Linked DNA regions of Drosophila melanogaster. The protein of the gene in region 1 interacts with the protein of each later gene in a pairwise test. Each region holds a gene or a part of one and is shown in the gene's direction. Other genes may lie near its edges. The genes, in order: Rap1, Rgl and PDZ-GEF.

Region 1 (6,044 bases):
CGAGCAGGAGTCCAAGAAGCTGGGCAAGCAGAGCTTCATGTATGCCTGGGTGCTGGACGAGACGGGCGAGGAGCGGGCCCGCGGCATCACCATGGACGTGGGCCAGTCGCGTATCGAAACCAAGACCAAGATCGTCACACTGCTGGATGCTCCGGGGCACAAGGACTTCATTCCGAACATGATCTCCGGTGCCACACAGGCGGATGTTGCCCTTCTGGTGGTGGATGCTACAAGGGGAGAGTTTGAATCCGGCTTTGAGCTCGGCGGACAGACTAGAGAGCACGCCATTCTAGTGCGATCCCTGGGGGTTAACCAGCTAGGCGTGGTCATCAACAAGCTGGACACCGTTGGCTGGTCCCAGGACCGATTCACAGAGATTGTGACCAAGCTAAAGTCCTTCCTCAAACTGGCGGGCTTCAAGGATTCCGATGTGAGTTTTACGCCCTGTTCCGGACTAACCGGCGAGAACCTCACCAAGAAAGCCCAGGAACCCGCCCTGACCAACTGGTACAGTGGACGCCACCTCCTCGATGTCATTGAGAACTTCAAGATCCCCGAAAGAGCCATCGACAGACCGCTGCGAATGTCCGTGTCGGACATTTACAAGGGCACTGGCTCCGGATTCTGCATCTCGGGACGAGTGGAAACCGGAGTGCTGTGCCTGAACGACAAGGTGCTGGTGGGTGCCAGCCGGGAGCAGGCCCAAGTGAAATCCCTTACCATGAACGAATTCCCACAGACTTGCGTGTTCGCCGGCGATCAGGTCTCCGTCACCCTGCCCGCCTTGGACATCAACAACGTCACCGTGGGCTGCATCATCAGCGATCCACAAACCCCTATTCCGGTGACAACGCGATTCCAGGCCCGCATAATCGTGTTCAACGTCAAGGTGCCCATTACCATGGGCTTCCCCGTGCTGCTGCACCACCAATCCCTAATAGAGCCCGCCGTGGTCTGCAAGCTGACCGCATCGATTCACAAGAGCACCGGCGAGGTGGTCAAGAAGAAGCCGCGTTGCCTGGGCAACAACTCGTGTGCCCTAGTGGAACTGGAAACCAGCAGACCCATCTGCATCGAGCGGTATGCGGACTTCAAGGAGCTGGGACGCGTGATGCTTCGCGTGGCGGGAGTCACCATTGCCGCCGGAATGGTCACCAAGATCCGCTAGGTCGATGACCGCGCTGGATTTTGTACGAAATTTTAGTTAGATATTAACTTTTGTTGATTTCCTAAATATACATAGTTTATATGAATTGATTAAATCGAAAAGACGCTGAAGCATTGGAAGAGATTTCGGTCTGACCATTTTAGCGGTATCTTAAAGTGGAGTGTGTTTTTCATGGAATTAATCACTTTAAGAAATTATTATATTTATTATCATTGAATTAATCATAAGGAATATAATTACAATTTATACATAAATTGCAATATCACGTTTTTGGAATATTATGACCCCTACAATAATATTCCAAAAACGTGATATTGCAATTTTTGTATAAATTGTAATTATTTTCCTTATGATAAATTCTATGATTCAAAACTGTATCTCGAAAATGTGAATATGCGGCTGACTAAAATTCTGAATGCGAATCATATTGCTGATTCATGAAACAATCAAGCATTAGAATTTTTTCTTAAACTATCGGCAACACAGCTTATATATTATTTGCAAATTATGCTTAAAAAATAAAATAGGAATACCATAAAATATCACTTACTGTAGAAAACAATTTCAATATGAAATCGTATTAACAAAATTAAAATTAAAAAAAAATATATAGGGAAAATAACAATTTAAATATTTCCAAAATTTGATGTGCTAATATAAATTTAAAAGAATCAAATATATTTCGAATATAAATTTTATAGTTTATTTTTAAAATTTACAGCAATGCTTTAAAAGTGTCATCGCTAAGCCATTGCGATAGTCGTGCGTAGCCCTCGGCCTGCGAGTGCCGATAGTGCCATCGATGCTTTGGCAGCCCTAGTCTTTGAGTGTTCGCTGTTCGCTGAGGGCGAAAAAGTAAAGAAATTACAAGGCAAACTAGTGTTAAATTAAAAGTGAAGCGATTCGCGAGCGGCGACAGGTGAAGCGGTCCCCAAGGAGCAAGCAGTTGGCGGCAGCGAGTGAAAAGCATAGGTAAAACTCCGCCCAGAGTTGCCCTGCCGCCCGACATGCGGGTGCATTTGCGTGGTTCAGTTGTTTAGTGGCCGTTCGGTAGGCCGATGTACGCACATGGGTGCCCAGTGTGCAATTTAAGTGCATTTTAAGTGAGAGAGCTGAGTGAAATTTAAGGGAATCTCCGGCTTGAGGCGTTGCAGTGGGGCGCTGCGTTCGGTGCGGCCGCCTGGCAACCCTGAAAATGAATCATTAGAGCGAGAACGAGAACGAGAGAGTTGTGAAGAAGAAAAGAGGGAGTGCAGTCAGTTCTCAGCATACCAAAAAACGCAAACCAAAAAGACTCGCAAAGAATTTAGCGTTTATTGTGTCTAAAAAGCGCCTTTCTTCTTACTCCCCCCACAGTGTGCTCTCGGTAGCAGTGACGGCCGTCTCGAGGAACAGTCAAGCCAGGATATTTCCGCTCAAAAAAGCAACAATTGAACGCACGCAACTCGGCGGAAGGAGCGAGCGAGAGAGGGAGCACAAACACCATCACACATTCACACACACTAACACACACACACTCACGCAGTCACTTACACGGCACAAAGGTTATCAACAGCAAAAGCAACAACAACAAACAATTTACTTTAAATATAAAACATATATTAACTAATAAGCAAGAGCAACAAAAAAAAACAAAAACAAAAAACAACTGCAACCGACAAGCAATCGCCGAACAACGCCTAAAAACAAGTGATTTTCGAGGGAGAGCCACCTGGAAAGTGAACCCACCTACCTGGCCTACCTGCATTTTGGGTCTCTTCCCTAGAATTTAGCACAAAACAAGAGATATACGAAGGATATACAAACAGCACAGCAGCCAGCATGCGTGAGTACAAAATCGTGGTCCTTGGAAGCGGCGGCGTGGGCAAATCCGCGCTGACAGTCCAGTTTGTCCAGTGCATCTTCGTGGAGAAGTACGATCCCACCATCGAGGACAGTTACAGGAAGCAGGTGGAGGTGGACGGACAGCAGTGCATGCTGGAGATCCTGGACACGGCGGGTACGGAGCAGTTCACGGCCATGCGGGATTTGTACATGAAGAACGGCCAGGGATTCGTGCTGGTCTACTCGATCACGGCGCAATCGACGTTTAACGATCTGCAGGACCTGCGCGAGCAGATACTCCGGGTGAAGGACACGGACGATGTGCCCATGGTGCTCGTGGGCAACAAGTGCGACCTCGAAGAGGAGCGCGTCGTCGGCAAGGAGCTGGGCAAGAACCTGGCCACCCAGTTCAACTGCGCCTTCATGGAGACCTCAGCCAAAGCCAAAGTGAATGTGAACGATATTTTCTACGACCTGGTCCGGCAGATCAACAAGAAGTCGCCCGAGAAGAAACAGAAGAAGCCGAAAAAGTCCCTATGTGTTCTGCTATAAGACTTCCAAAAACCACCAAAACTAAAAAAACAAAAAAAAAAATATATAACAGAGGAGGAGGAGAGAGGAGCAAAAGTATAAGCGTAAAGTAAAGAATTTTCAAATTTTTTTCGTTCTCGTTTCGTTTTGGATCCGATGGCAATTGTCGAATTGAAATAACCAATCTACTATATACAAGCAAAACTTAAACTGACAAATGTTTTTAACTGTTTCAAGTTTTTGTAATTATTACCATTTACTACTATTATGATTGTACTATTTTTCGCTGATTAACCATTAATTCATATGGGGAATTATTATATATATATATCTACATATTTAAATATATTTGTCGTTCGTTTTTGAGCCGTTTTTTAAATTATGCAACAAGTGAAACATTCGTAAACTAAAACATTCGTATTTATTGATTCTTTTCGATTGTACTCTACACATCTACAACTACAACTACTTATACACGCGAAAGCCCAACCAACAACAAGTATATCTTTAAATAGAACCGAAAACAACATTCGAAACACAAATCAAATTAAGCTAAACTAAATTGTACGCCTAAAAGATAAAGATAACAAATTCCACGAGAGAAATGAGCAAATAAATCGAGAAAGGAAATGAATCATGAATAAGGAACATATTTTATAAAAATATTGTATGCAAATGATGTCAAAATGTTGCAAACAACCAGAAGTAATGAGCCCCCTCCCCCTTAGAAATTAGTTTAAAACAAATTTACAATTAATTGTTTACCACGATCAGTTGCATCAAATCTGAACCCCCCCCCCCAAACACACACATACCAGCCACATCCCACACACACACACACACATTCGCAACCAGAACTCACACACACAAACACACCTACACATTTCCGGCGCGCTCTCAGAGAGCGAAAAAGCTACACGAAAACGGAAGCGGAATCGAGACAAGAGGCTCCTGCGGCCAAGGCTCATTTCCGCTTCCTGGTAAAAAGAAGAGGAGCAGGAAGTGCAGAGAGAGCCACAAATTCTAGAATATTTAATACATAAGAAATGGTTTAACACAAACTAAACTGTCGTGTCAATCCCAAAATGAAAAGAAACCTAAAAACGAAGTAATTTACAAATATTTCATAATAAACATTGCATAAACTTCGCGTACGAGTAGTAACCAATATGCCCTTAAATCAAAGTCTAAACACAGCCAACAACCAACATTAAAAGTAAACTAAATAAAACCTAAGCCCAAGCGTATATATTAAATATATGATAAAGATACAAATCATTTTTGAACATAATAAACAACAAACAAACCAACCGTTACAATAACATAATGTAATAATGAGCGTGTGAAAAATGTAATTGAAAAACCATTTTTTCGAACTTGTTTCCCTACTGGTCGCGTTTTTGGGACCCCACACAGAGCCTCTGATCTCAGAATCCTGGCAGTCCCGAATTCGCGACGCAGTAGGTCGACATGATCGAGCATCTTTTAATTATTAATAAATGTATTATGTTTATAAAAAATTAAAAAGGAAATGCAAAAACAAAATAAAAATTAAATAAATTCATTTGTGGAGCGTATGCCTTATTCTTAGCATAGTTCATTCAGAAGTTAAAGACAAGACGATTGCATTGAAGTTTTGAAATATCTGTATTTGATACTTGGAATAGTTATATAAGGTTGTTATTCAAATATTTATACATATACAATTACAATCAAATAGCTCGTCTTTATAATTATAATATTCTGCTAGTTTATAGCACGCATGTTAATCCAGCGTAAGATCTGCGATAGGATCGATTCGGAGTTAAGTTGGGGCGTAGGAGTAGTAAAACCGCATTGTATCCACAGCTGATATGGTATGCAAGTTCCGAGAGATTCGCGGGTTGAGATATACAATCATAATGCATGCTTTTCGTAGAAGCCGGCGAATCGCTCGCCAGCAGTTAAAATGTAGAAAGTGAATTTTAAGACAGAGTTACGTGGTAGTTTCTATTACTGTACAATAAGTGGCTCGAGTTCCGCTTCATGACTAGGTTTTGGGCTAAGCAAAGTGCTATACTGGGGGACTCGCCTCCGATTCCTGGTGTGATGCTTGTTAATTAACGCTTTTTATAATCAGTCGAACGTGTGAGTGAGTGTGGCTTTCTAGCAATCTCTAGCAATCGCGGCTTAAAAGAGGCCGCCTTAGTATCGATTACAAATTATGCATAAAACTTAACTACGCTAATTTGGCAACAACGAAAGGGTAAACAAAACGTATACAAACAAGGAATATATGTATGGGTATATGGGGGTATTGCACGGTAGGGTAAAAATTGCACTTAAGGTTAAAACTAGGGTAATACCATCGCATCTTTGTGTCGAGATTGGGATAGGAGATTTCAGATTTCGTTCTTGCCCGGAGATTACTTTGGACTGGGGAACTGGGGAGATTACTAGCGCACGTGATCGTCACGTTATGGCCGTTGAGATTAGATAACAAAACGATCCGCTTCACTTGCGCAGCTGCAGTTGACCCTGC
Region 2 (5,125 bases), about 12 Mb from region 1:
TCGTCGTTAGCTGTGCCAAGCCAAAATGCGCGTATCCGACAGATACCAGTCATCATCACAATTATCATCAGCATCTACAACACCACCATCGGAAATTGCATCGCACCAGATTTTGAGCAGCACGCACCTTGAAGTAATTGCAGCATCTGGCCATCGTCAACGCTGCAGACTATAATGAGTCAAAATGTGGCCGACAGTTTGGTGAGTAGCTAAACCATTATCTTGTTCATGTACTCTAGTATATAGCAAGCGTAGAAAGTAACAGGGAAATGCATAGAAAGTCATTTTGAAAGTATCTCGCAGAGCACCGAACTTTGTGTGGAGGCTTTTTGCCCAGGTCTGCTAATTATTTGGTCAAATAGTCCGTAGACTAAGTTAATGAAAAATATGTTGCAACATTTTGATTAGAGTGGTGCCGAAAAATCGAATTAAAGAAATTTATAATTTATAATTTAATTTATAATTTTTGTGATATTTATTATCACGATCACAACACAAGAGCGGTTTTTTCGTATGACTAAAGTTTTGGAGCACAACATTTTTCATCTAAATATATATTATGACGTTTACGTTTTAAAATATTATTCTCCATACTTTCTGATAGGGAGAACAGCAATAATTTTAAATAAATTTACTATAGCTTTAAACCGTATTATTTTGACACCAACATCATGAAGCACATTGAGGGTCAATCTTTAATTGATCTCTTTTTCTAGCTTTATATAAAATTCGTTATCAGCATCACCAAGTGCATAACAAATATCAGTGCCTTTTTTTGTATTGAAACTTGTTGCATTCGCTAATTGATCAATTGACGTGCTCATGGTCTCGAATATTTATCCAATGTCTACAAGCAACAAACAAAACAGCAGGCATCGTTTGATTGGCGCTTACGTAAATGCACGTTTTATTAATATTTCTGCTTATTGATTTCCCCGCCAGCTTTCTTTAAATCGTTACCAAATACCAGACAACACTCAGGTATTCCCATTTCCATAATTATGTCATTCCAGTTCACATGTTTGAACGGTTGGTCAAATGATAGCCTAAAAAGCCAAACAAAACATGGAAGAAAATTATTTAAATTTCTTTGTTGGCATTAATCAAAAATTTGGAATAAAATCCTACAGGTTTAGGAGGCCCATAAATTCCATTGATAAATGTGAAGCTATAATGAAGACAAATGCTATTGTGGGGGTCAGTGTAAATATATACCAAAAAATACTAAAATTGACAGAGAGAGTTGAGAGAGAGTTCTGATTAGAAACAAACAAGCCAACAGTCAATTGCTCATCAGAAAAAACATAAACAGAGCGCGAATGGCCAGAGCAAGTAAGATTTTTATGTTTGTTCTGATACGACATATATATACCGTGTATTTATTTTAAGAAACTTATTTATTTATATTTAGCGTGTCAACAGTCACTAGGAAGAAGTTTTAAAGAAATTTGTTTAAATTGATTTAAAAGGCCAAGTTACCATAGTGCAAAAGAAATAAAATCAATTACCAATTCAATGGTAAATTGACAGTTTATCTGGAAAAAGTTCTATTTTAAGTTTATTGACTATAAATTGTGAGAATATGTAGGTGTTTTAAATTCGGAACCAATATTGGAATGCATTGTTAATGTTAACTGTGTTTTTGAACTTGTTCGATGCAACCAATATACCTTCACGCAAGGTGTAAAACCATAGTGGGTGTTTTGCTAGAAGTTCCCACGGTCGAAAACTTGAGTACCTGAGAAAAGCGAACGAGAGAGTGCAATTGAGAGAACGGGGATGCTACAGTTACATCCGTCGAGTAAGAACATCCCCCGAAAATGCTTGCGTTCTTAATGACAGAGAGTGGATCCCCGACAGAGAGAGCGTGTGGGAGAGAGTAAGCGAGAGTTGGATACAGACGATGGGGTTTCGGGCGGTCGTTTGTTCTAAGCGGGCAGAGTTCGTCTTCGACTGTTGTTGGCGGCGGTTGCGTCGCGTGTCTCTCTACCGAGAGCTTTGTGTGTGTGTCTCGCGCGCGTTTTACGCTCTGCGCCCCCTACGCTCCCCTTTTCCAAGTAGAGAAACCCCCGAATGTGAATTTTGTATAATGTTTTTGTAATAACATGGATATCTCATGTTGAGATTTTCAGCCAAGCGAATGAAAATGCAAGCGGTATCCCGAAAATTGCCGTTTACGTGTGTGCGAGTGCAGCATTAGCAAAAGGAAAAGAGATAAAAGTGAAAACAAATAAATAGTAGGGAAGACGTGCTAAAGCACGAGAGCAAAGAGGAGATTGCCAGGCAGACGCATAGACGTAGTGCAACGAACCCTTCTTCGCGGACCAAGGATTCACCACTTACCACTAACCGGAGAACAAATACCAATATTAACCCCCCCACCTCTACTGCTACTGGGTGTGTTTCTCTATGTCCCGTTGACTCATCGTTCCCAGGAAGCTGAACAACGGTATAGCGGCCAGAACACAGAAGCCCAGTACAAAAAAAGAGCAGCAGGAATATCGATTTTACTTGCCTTTTACTTATACAACACCCCCACCACCCATTGAACTGCACTTGGGTGTAAAAATAAAACACCAGAAGCCATTAAAGGAGACGTGTAAATTAAAGCGAACCGACGAGAAGAGGATAACGGATAGGAAAACCCAAGCAGTGCATCCGTGGAAATCTCAGCAACATTTCTCAAGGAACAAAAGCCAATCTCAAATGGTAAAAAAAAACAACGCAATCCATCAGGCCGGATTAGAAAGGAGCGCACTTTAGATCTATTGGTTCTTATCCTGCCCTTACAGTGGTCACTCGAACGTTGATACATTGAAATGTTTTTTTTTAACAATATATTTAAAACAAGTACATCATATTTCTGCAATAAGCAATACATCGGTAACAAACTCCTGATAAGATAAAAACATTAATGGCTTGAATTTTATTACTATTGACCCTCGCCCTTAAATCAACGACATGGATAATTATCGATAATGCGCACCTTTTTTTGTCCGAGAATTTTCAACCCTGAAAACTAGTTGCTGTGTACTTGATCTGGTTTTGTGTGGAGAGGGATTACTGTAGTGTCTTGGTGTCGATTCACAAGGAAATGTCAACAATGATTATGGGCAAAAATGCAATGGTATGGAAACTTTACGCCTAAGTGGAGTCCAGAAATAAAACACCTTCTTTTGGTGGGGAAGGAATAGGAATCGATAAAAGTCGGGAATTTTTTACAAGTTATAAATGAATCATATGGGAACTGCCAAGCTTGGAGAAGCTTTGTTTTGGGAGTTTCGAGAATTTATATGCTAATTAAAAAGCATTCAAAATTGGTATACTTATGCTTGGGAACAAATGGTGTAGGGTATTCTTAAGTGATGTATATAATTTGTTTCGCAGGTGAAAGATAACGAATTAAAGCTATGAATTTAAAGGTGAATCAGTTTGAGATCATTTCAGTTGCAGTCCCAGTTATATTTTCGTTTCTTTATCATCCATTTATGCGGAGTGCCCCTAGAAATCATTTATCAGCTCCCATTGTATGCAAAACAAAAGCTCCGCCCCCCACTTCCTTTACCCACTGGCGAATGATGGGGGAATGCATAAAAAAAATAATTTACGTGGGGAGCTATGCTCAGTGGCTCAAACTTTAGCTTAGGTTGATATGTTTTTGTATTGTTTGCACATCATCTCTGCTGCTGCCCAACGGATGTGGTTTGATAATAGCCGAAAGAGCGGGACAGCTGCTCTGCAGTAGAGACAGATACATATGTACATATACACGTTAAATAAAAGTTTTATTCGGATATGAATTATGGTTTTTGAAATTAAAAATTGCAACAGGATGTGGCATCGGTTGATATTCGTTATGTTGTAATATAGCGAAAAGGAGACATTAGGGATAGAATATCGAATGCCAAGTAATGCCTGTTCTATTATTTCTCATAAACACAAACGATGTAAAATCTTGATGGACCTGTGTTAGTAGGCCGATGCAATTAAATTTGATCATAATTCCCTTCATTTTTTTTTATGTGCACCGAGGGAGCAGCAAATGTTGTCAAGTTGACTGCGTCGGATGCAGTCGCATGTAACTGACAGTCAGTCAGAGTCATTTAGCCAGTCAGTCATTTAGTCAGTCAGTCATTCAGGGATGACAGAGGGAAGGGGGAGAGACTGGTGTTTAGTTTCAGTCGTTTTTTTCCCTTGGCGTTTTCAATTTTGTTTTGCGTTGTTTTTTTTTTGCCGCTGCTTCTGTTGCTGCAATTCACAAAACTCGTGCCAGGGGTCGTCGATTTAAAAATAGAGATTTGTGTCTACAATTGCGGTCAAAATAAATGCCTTTTCATTTTTCAAGACAAGCGAAATGTATTGCTTATTTCGGACACCTAATCTATTGCCGCCAAGAACTAGGAAATTCTCAAAGAACTGTTTTTACATCGATACAAATTGCAATACTTTTACCTATAAATCGAATATCTCAAACGGAATACTATTTTACTATCTCAGAGTCATGTTTCATCATTTAAATATTGATCCATTTCCTTAGATGTATTTTCACTTTTAATCTATCAATATTGTGACCTCAGCTGTATGGCTGTTTGTTGATAAATTCACCCCAAATGCAAATGCAGTACCATTTCGCTTTGATGTTGCGGTTCGACTCTCCTTTGTTTTGGTTTCTGGCTATTTTTGCGAAGATCTGTAATTGAGAGAAACCCCCCCTGGGCGGAAAAGCAGAAAACGCCACCCACACGCTTTTCTGGAGGAAAGGTCACCTGCTTTATATATAGACAGATGATGATGTGGGCCGACCAATCAGGCGCCCCCTCATACTTGGATGTTATTTCTTTATAATTGGGTGCCTTGTATACACAAACACGAATATGTTTGACAATTGCCCGTCGTCTGGCATTATAATACTATATTATTTCATTACTTAATGAGCTTTATTTCTGCCGCAGTTTTTTTTGCACGGGCTGGGTATTTTCTGATGAATCATTCGAACTCAAAAGGTAAAATATCAACCGTATGCAAATCGTCATTTCCTCGCCGAGTTGTGTTCTGTTTCATTCGGTCTCGTTTGGCATTCGCTGTAATAATAATCGTGAATGAAATGAGTGTATTTAGGTTCTGG
Region 3 (5,471 bases), on another chromosome or scaffold:
ATACATGAACAGGAGCTAAAAGGAGCTAAGATAAAATGAATGTGGGACAACCAAATACTTACCGCTTCAAAAATATACTTACTTTTTGCAATTTCCCTTGGTTTTATATATGTGTATCTCCTAATAATTAAATGATCTATCTGTTATCTAACATGGTTTGATAATACCTCTTTGCAGGGCAAGTTCACAACGAAATCGGATGTGTGGTCCTTTGCGGTTGCCCTGTGGGAAATATTGACTTTCGCCAGGGAGCAGCCCTACGAGCATTTGTCGGACAAAAGTGTAATTGAAAACATCGGCCTCATATATCGGGACTACAAAATGCATGTGAGTGGCTATAGAAACAATTATTGATGTGGTCAAAGAATTATGTTGCCTCGTATTTCTAGGAACTTTTGCCAATGCCTCCGAATTGTCCGCGAGAGATTTACGATCTGATGTGCGAGTGCTGGCAGCGCGACGAGTCGAGTCGACCCAGTTTCCGCGAGATACATTTGTATCTGCAGCGCAAGAATTTAGGTTTTAAGCCACAGACCCATACACACATGTATTGAAACATTCTAGGCGTAGAAATACGAATTGAACATGATTTTAGCAGGTTATAATTCAATTATCAATTTCGACAGCTATCCGGGAAGAACGTAATTTTAAAGAGAAATGCATGTAGAGAACTTAATGAATAACAATCGCAAATCAAACCCCGAATTTAATACGTTACACATTCTTCGACTGGGTATGCCCAATCGGAAATTATCCAAATATGTATGTATATCAGAGGTAACGACTGTTTGTACGGTAAAACACAGGAATCGCTAACAAATATTATACTTCTAAGGACACAATCAAGTGAATAGCTTATAAAATCCCTCGAATAATACACATTGAAAGAGTTTAAGTGTAAATAATATTGGTAGAAAACTCCGTATGGTAATATTTGTGCATTCTATCCAATGGATAATTAAATGGAATCGAAAATGAAAACATTGACATATGTGTGTACCTATCGCTCCTCCACCTGAACGCTATCTATCAAATCAATTATGCTTTACATATTTACTAGAGTAAAGTGAAATGAGTCTATATTTATAAAAACTAAATAATGTCCACCTGCCGTTGCTGCCCCTTTTCCTGGAAATTACAACTGCATTTTGACGATGTATCGCGATGGAAAAAAAATATTTAAAGCCTGCATATAATTTTGACAATAACTGTTTAAACAAAGAAGTGTGAAAACAATTGTGCAAATTGCTTTGTATTTCTGCAAATCTAAACTCGTTCGAGTTAAAAACCTAGGCTAATCGCAGACATTCGTTCTTAAATCTCTAGTCTACACAAAAGTCAATTAGACGCATATCAAAAATGTATTTTGTTTAACCAAATTTTTACTGTGCCTTTTCCCTCCTATTTTCTTGTGCTGTACAAAGTCTTAATAACCGTATATCTATTTTATTTAATTTGTATTCTATCAAATGCTTAAAAAGGTTTCGCTGAATAAAGATATGCAGTTATATCAACTCGATCTAAGAAAATAAGTTTTAATCATAAGCATAGTTGTAAGTTCGTTTTAAATTTGCATGATAGACGACATTTACATTATTTCAGTTAAGAGTTCAATGGTTTTCATGTATTCCAAATATTTAAAATGATTCTTTACTAAATATAAATATAATTATTTTAATTTAGCATAACCATAAACTAAACGATACGTTTCCCTTTCTAAAGATCAGTGTAACTCAAAATATAAATAAGCAAAAAGTAGAGACAAGAAAGAAAATCGTTGAGCACAATCATGTTTAATAAAAAGAACTCTAAAGATGAAACTCAGAATTGTACGCTTTTTGAAATGGAAGAAATTGCATTAGATTATAAATAAAGAAAAATCCTTAAAAACACAGCATTTCGATTTTCTGGGGCAAACTTGACTTTGTTTTAAAAAGTTTGCAATTTATAAATTGATAACGGTAATGTATGAAAATAATAAAAATCACCAAGGCGCCATCTATAAATAAATGTTTTAAAAAACATAAAGCAGAAATAACCGATTCCCAGATCAGCGGGTATTTTTTGAAACAGAAGTGGCGCCACTAGCGTATTAAAAAGGAACTTAGTGAACAATCTATACCAACCAATCGGTATTTAAATACCGCAATTCAGCGATAGTCATAGATAGTATAGAAAACCTGGTATCACTGAGCGGTGTGGTCACACTGTAAGACGCGTCGGACTTTTAGTTTTCAGCTACTTAATTTTTCTAAATTAAACGGTCGCCCTCGAATCGAAAAACTAATTCACCAAATGAAAGCAACTCGAAATACCATCTTACACACTCGGCCACGCAGCTGAGAGCGAAAAGCGCTCACAAAACTGCAGTGCAACAGCCACTTTTCCTCGTCGAGATGTGTGTTTGTGTGTGTGAGTGAAAGAAATTCCAACAATGCGCACCACAATACCAATACACACACAGGCTGCTTGAATCTCTTTATGCAGCAGTGTACGCAAAAAGGGCAGCTGGGAAACTACTTGCGTCTAAAAAAAAAGTGCGTATAATTAGCAAGTGCAGGGGCATAAACACAGTCCCAACCAACTCCCCACCCCCCGCCACTGGAGGACCCTTGCTGGCTGCAAAAACCATTCAACTGCACCAAACACGCCCATATCTGCTGGCTGTGCGAGTGTGTTAGTGCGTCTGCTGTCTGTGTGGGTGGTGCAAAGTGTGTTTTATTTACTACGCTTTGATTTTGCAATGCTCCTATTATTATTGTTGTGTATGGCTTATCCGCGCTTCGGATGTCGTCGCCTACAATTTTCGTTTCATTTTTTGTTATTATTTTTCTGTGTCGCTCGCCCCCTCGCACACACACATGCAAACGCTCAGCAATCGCTCTCACGTACAGTAGCAGCTTTGGCTCCCACACACATGCACACTCCGCCGACGCGTAGGCAGCGCATACTCAATCTCCCATGAGAATTTTCGCCCGCTCTCCGATTGTTTTTGTTTGCCTTAATTTATTGGCAGCATTGTGTTTGTTGTGGCGGAAAATGAAAGTGTGTTAGTGCGGGCAGCAAAAAAAACCCAGCAAAAAAAAAAAAACAAAAATTAAAAAACAAAAGCAGCAACCTGCGCGGCCAGCAAACAAAAAGCCGAATAAGAATTGACTAACAAACTCTCACAGCAATTTCGTTTCGAAAACCTTTGTTTTCGAGCGCCGTGTGCATCGCAATCAAAGCTCCGCAGATGCCACTACATCCGCGATTTGGGCCACCCTTTCTTCAAATTGGCCCAAACGCTATACAATGGCTAATCTCTCGGCCAATTGTTTTCGGTTACAAAAGCAAACAATGAACAAATGGCAATTTTAAAAGTTGCCACTATTGTTGCTTTTATCTATATCCGTGATCATGAGGATATAACAAGTTACAGAAAGTTGATTGTGGTTTTAGAAGTCCGATTTCAGTTCTTTAGACGTACGGAATTTTGATATAAAATAAGAGGTTTATAAAGAACAGAAGCGTATTGAATCCTTTACTTATAAGATGACTTACACACTAATTCTTTTGTTTCTAACCATGGTCCTTTCTCAACCTTTTCAGTTAAGTATAAAGTCTAATCTCATCACATATCACATCAAACGGGGCAAAGGTTGGCATGTCGTTGTAGACAGCATCCACAGCAAAAGCTACCCCTCATGGATCCGTATCACCATATCAGACATCATGTGAGTGCGCGCAGATTAGCTTATTGTACTTGAATTAAATTGACCTCTCTCCCCAACAGTATCCACCCACAAGCATAGCAGGCACAGGAGTGGTGGTGGGCAGCTCGACTACAATCAACCGGCCGGAACTGCACCAAAAATGCAACCGGGGCTCGCACTCCAGTGACACCAGTTCGGCGTACAGCGGCAGCGATACAATGGCCTCGAACTATGCCTCGTCGCTGGAGGCCGAGGAGATTGACCTCTCCGGCCTGGTGGAGTCCGTTGTGGACTCTGACGAGGAGGACCTGGCGGAGAGCATGGATGTAAGTGGATAAAACATCCAATGTATACATTACAACGATGTGTTAGAATGTCATTAGAAAAGGAAGAACATCTGATTATTTATTTGGCTTTTTTTTTCTGATTTATTTAGAGTCTTACCGTGCGGGATGCCGTGCGTGACTGTCTGGAAAAGGATCCGGCGGAGCGCAGCGAGGAAGATGTGGAAGTACTGCTTGAGTTCACGCAGGGCCTTAAGGCATTCACAAACATTACGCTGGCAGTGCGAAGAGCACTATGTTCCGTGATGGTATTCGCCGTTGTGGACAAGGCGGGAACCGTGGTCATGTCAGATGGTGAGGAACTGGACTCATGGTCGGTGCTCATAAACGGAGCGGTGGAGATCGAGCATGCAAATGGCAGTCGCGAAGAGCTGCAGATGGGAGACTCCTTCGGCATTCTACCCACCATGGACAAGCTGTACCACCGGGGTGTGATGCGTACGAAGTGCGATGACTGCCAATTTGTGTGCATTACGCAGACGGACTACTACCGTATTCAGCATCAAGGCGAGGAGAATACCCGGCGACATGAGGACGAGAATGGTTTCGTTGTTATGGTCACTGAACTCCGGTCCATTGGCGGCGCCGGCACTGATTCTGCTGGCAGTGGCGGATCGGCGACAGGAGCTTCGGCTTCGCTAAATATGAAGCGTGGTCACGTAGTTATCCGCGGTACTCCAGAGCGTCTGCTACAGCAGCTGGTCGAGGAAAACTCGATGACCGATCCCACATACGTGGAGGACTTTTTGCTCACACACCGCATCTTTATTCAGAACCCACAAGAGGTGACCAGCAAGTTGCTGCATTGGTTTGATTTGGAGCAGGTGGATGCGCACAAGACGCAGGAACTGCGAGATCGCGTAACACGCGTCGTGCTCCTCTGGGTGAACAACCATTTCACCGATTTCGAGGCGGACTATGAGATGATGGAGTTTCTGGAAGTCTTTGAGGCACTGTTAGAGCGAAAAAAGTTGCTAAGTCAGCTGCGCCTGTTGCACATAGCCTGTGCCGCCAAAGCACGGATGCGCAGCTGTACCCTCACTCGATCGTCACGTGACGAGCCGCTCAACTTCCGCATCGTGGGCGGCTACGAGCTTCGAGGCGTCGCCATAGCCACTGGAAACGCAGCAGTGGGCATCTACATTTCGCACGTCGAGCCGGGATCAAAAGCCCAGGATGTGGGCCTTAAGCGAGGCGATCAGATTCACGAAGTAAATGGACAGTCGCTGGACCATGTGACTAGCAAGCGAGCCCTCGAGATACTCACAGGCACCACCCATTTGAGCATCAGCGTTAAGAGCAACTTGCTTGGCTTCAAGGAGATTATGCAGGCTCTTGAGCATGGCGGTGGAACCGCTGGATCCGGAAGCATTTCCGCAGGCAGCGGCAGTTTCAAGTCCGTGCGAAGTCCACGCCGTATTTGCGCCAATGA

The links.
Region 2: the proteins of Rap1 (region 1) and Rgl interact in a two-hybrid assay, tested with the Drosophila melanogaster proteins (2 studies listed by BioGRID).
Region 3: the proteins of Rap1 (region 1) and PDZ-GEF interact in a two-hybrid assay, tested with the Drosophila melanogaster proteins (one study listed by BioGRID).

Annotation. Positions count from the first base shown.
Region 1 is NT_037436.4:1,858,157-1,864,200, reverse strand, and holds Rap1 (Rap1 GTPase), read left to right. Parts: upstream 1-1,961; 5' UTR 1,962-2,140; exon of another isoform or gene 2,141-2,271; intron 2,272-2,384; exon of another isoform or gene 2,385-2,524; 5' UTR 2,525-2,989; coding exon 2,990-3,544; 3' UTR 3,545-5,086; downstream 5,087-6,044. Other genes in the region: HBS1, read left to right, coding at 1-1,168; CG12024 (uncharacterized protein), read right to left, coding at 6,017-6,044. UniProt on the Drosophila melanogaster protein: Ras proteins bind GDP/GTP and possess intrinsic GTPase activity. Plays a role in photoreceptor cell determination.
Region 2 is NT_037436.4:13,916,775-13,921,899, reverse strand, and holds the start of Rgl (Ral guanine nucleotide dissociation stimulator-like), read left to right. Parts: upstream 1-1,934; 5' UTR 1,935-2,706; coding exon 2,707-2,709; intron 2,710-5,125.
Region 3 is NT_033779.5:6,321,582-6,327,052, forward strand, and holds the start of PDZ-GEF (PDZ domain-containing guanine nucleotide exchange factor), read left to right. Parts: upstream 1-2,185; 5' UTR 2,186-2,537; intron 2,538-3,591; 5' UTR 3,592-3,686; coding exon 3,687-3,716; intron 3,717-3,775; coding exon 3,776-4,021; intron 4,022-4,131; coding exon 4,132-5,471. Other genes in the region: Ddr (discoidin domain receptor), read left to right, coding at 178-327, 390-554.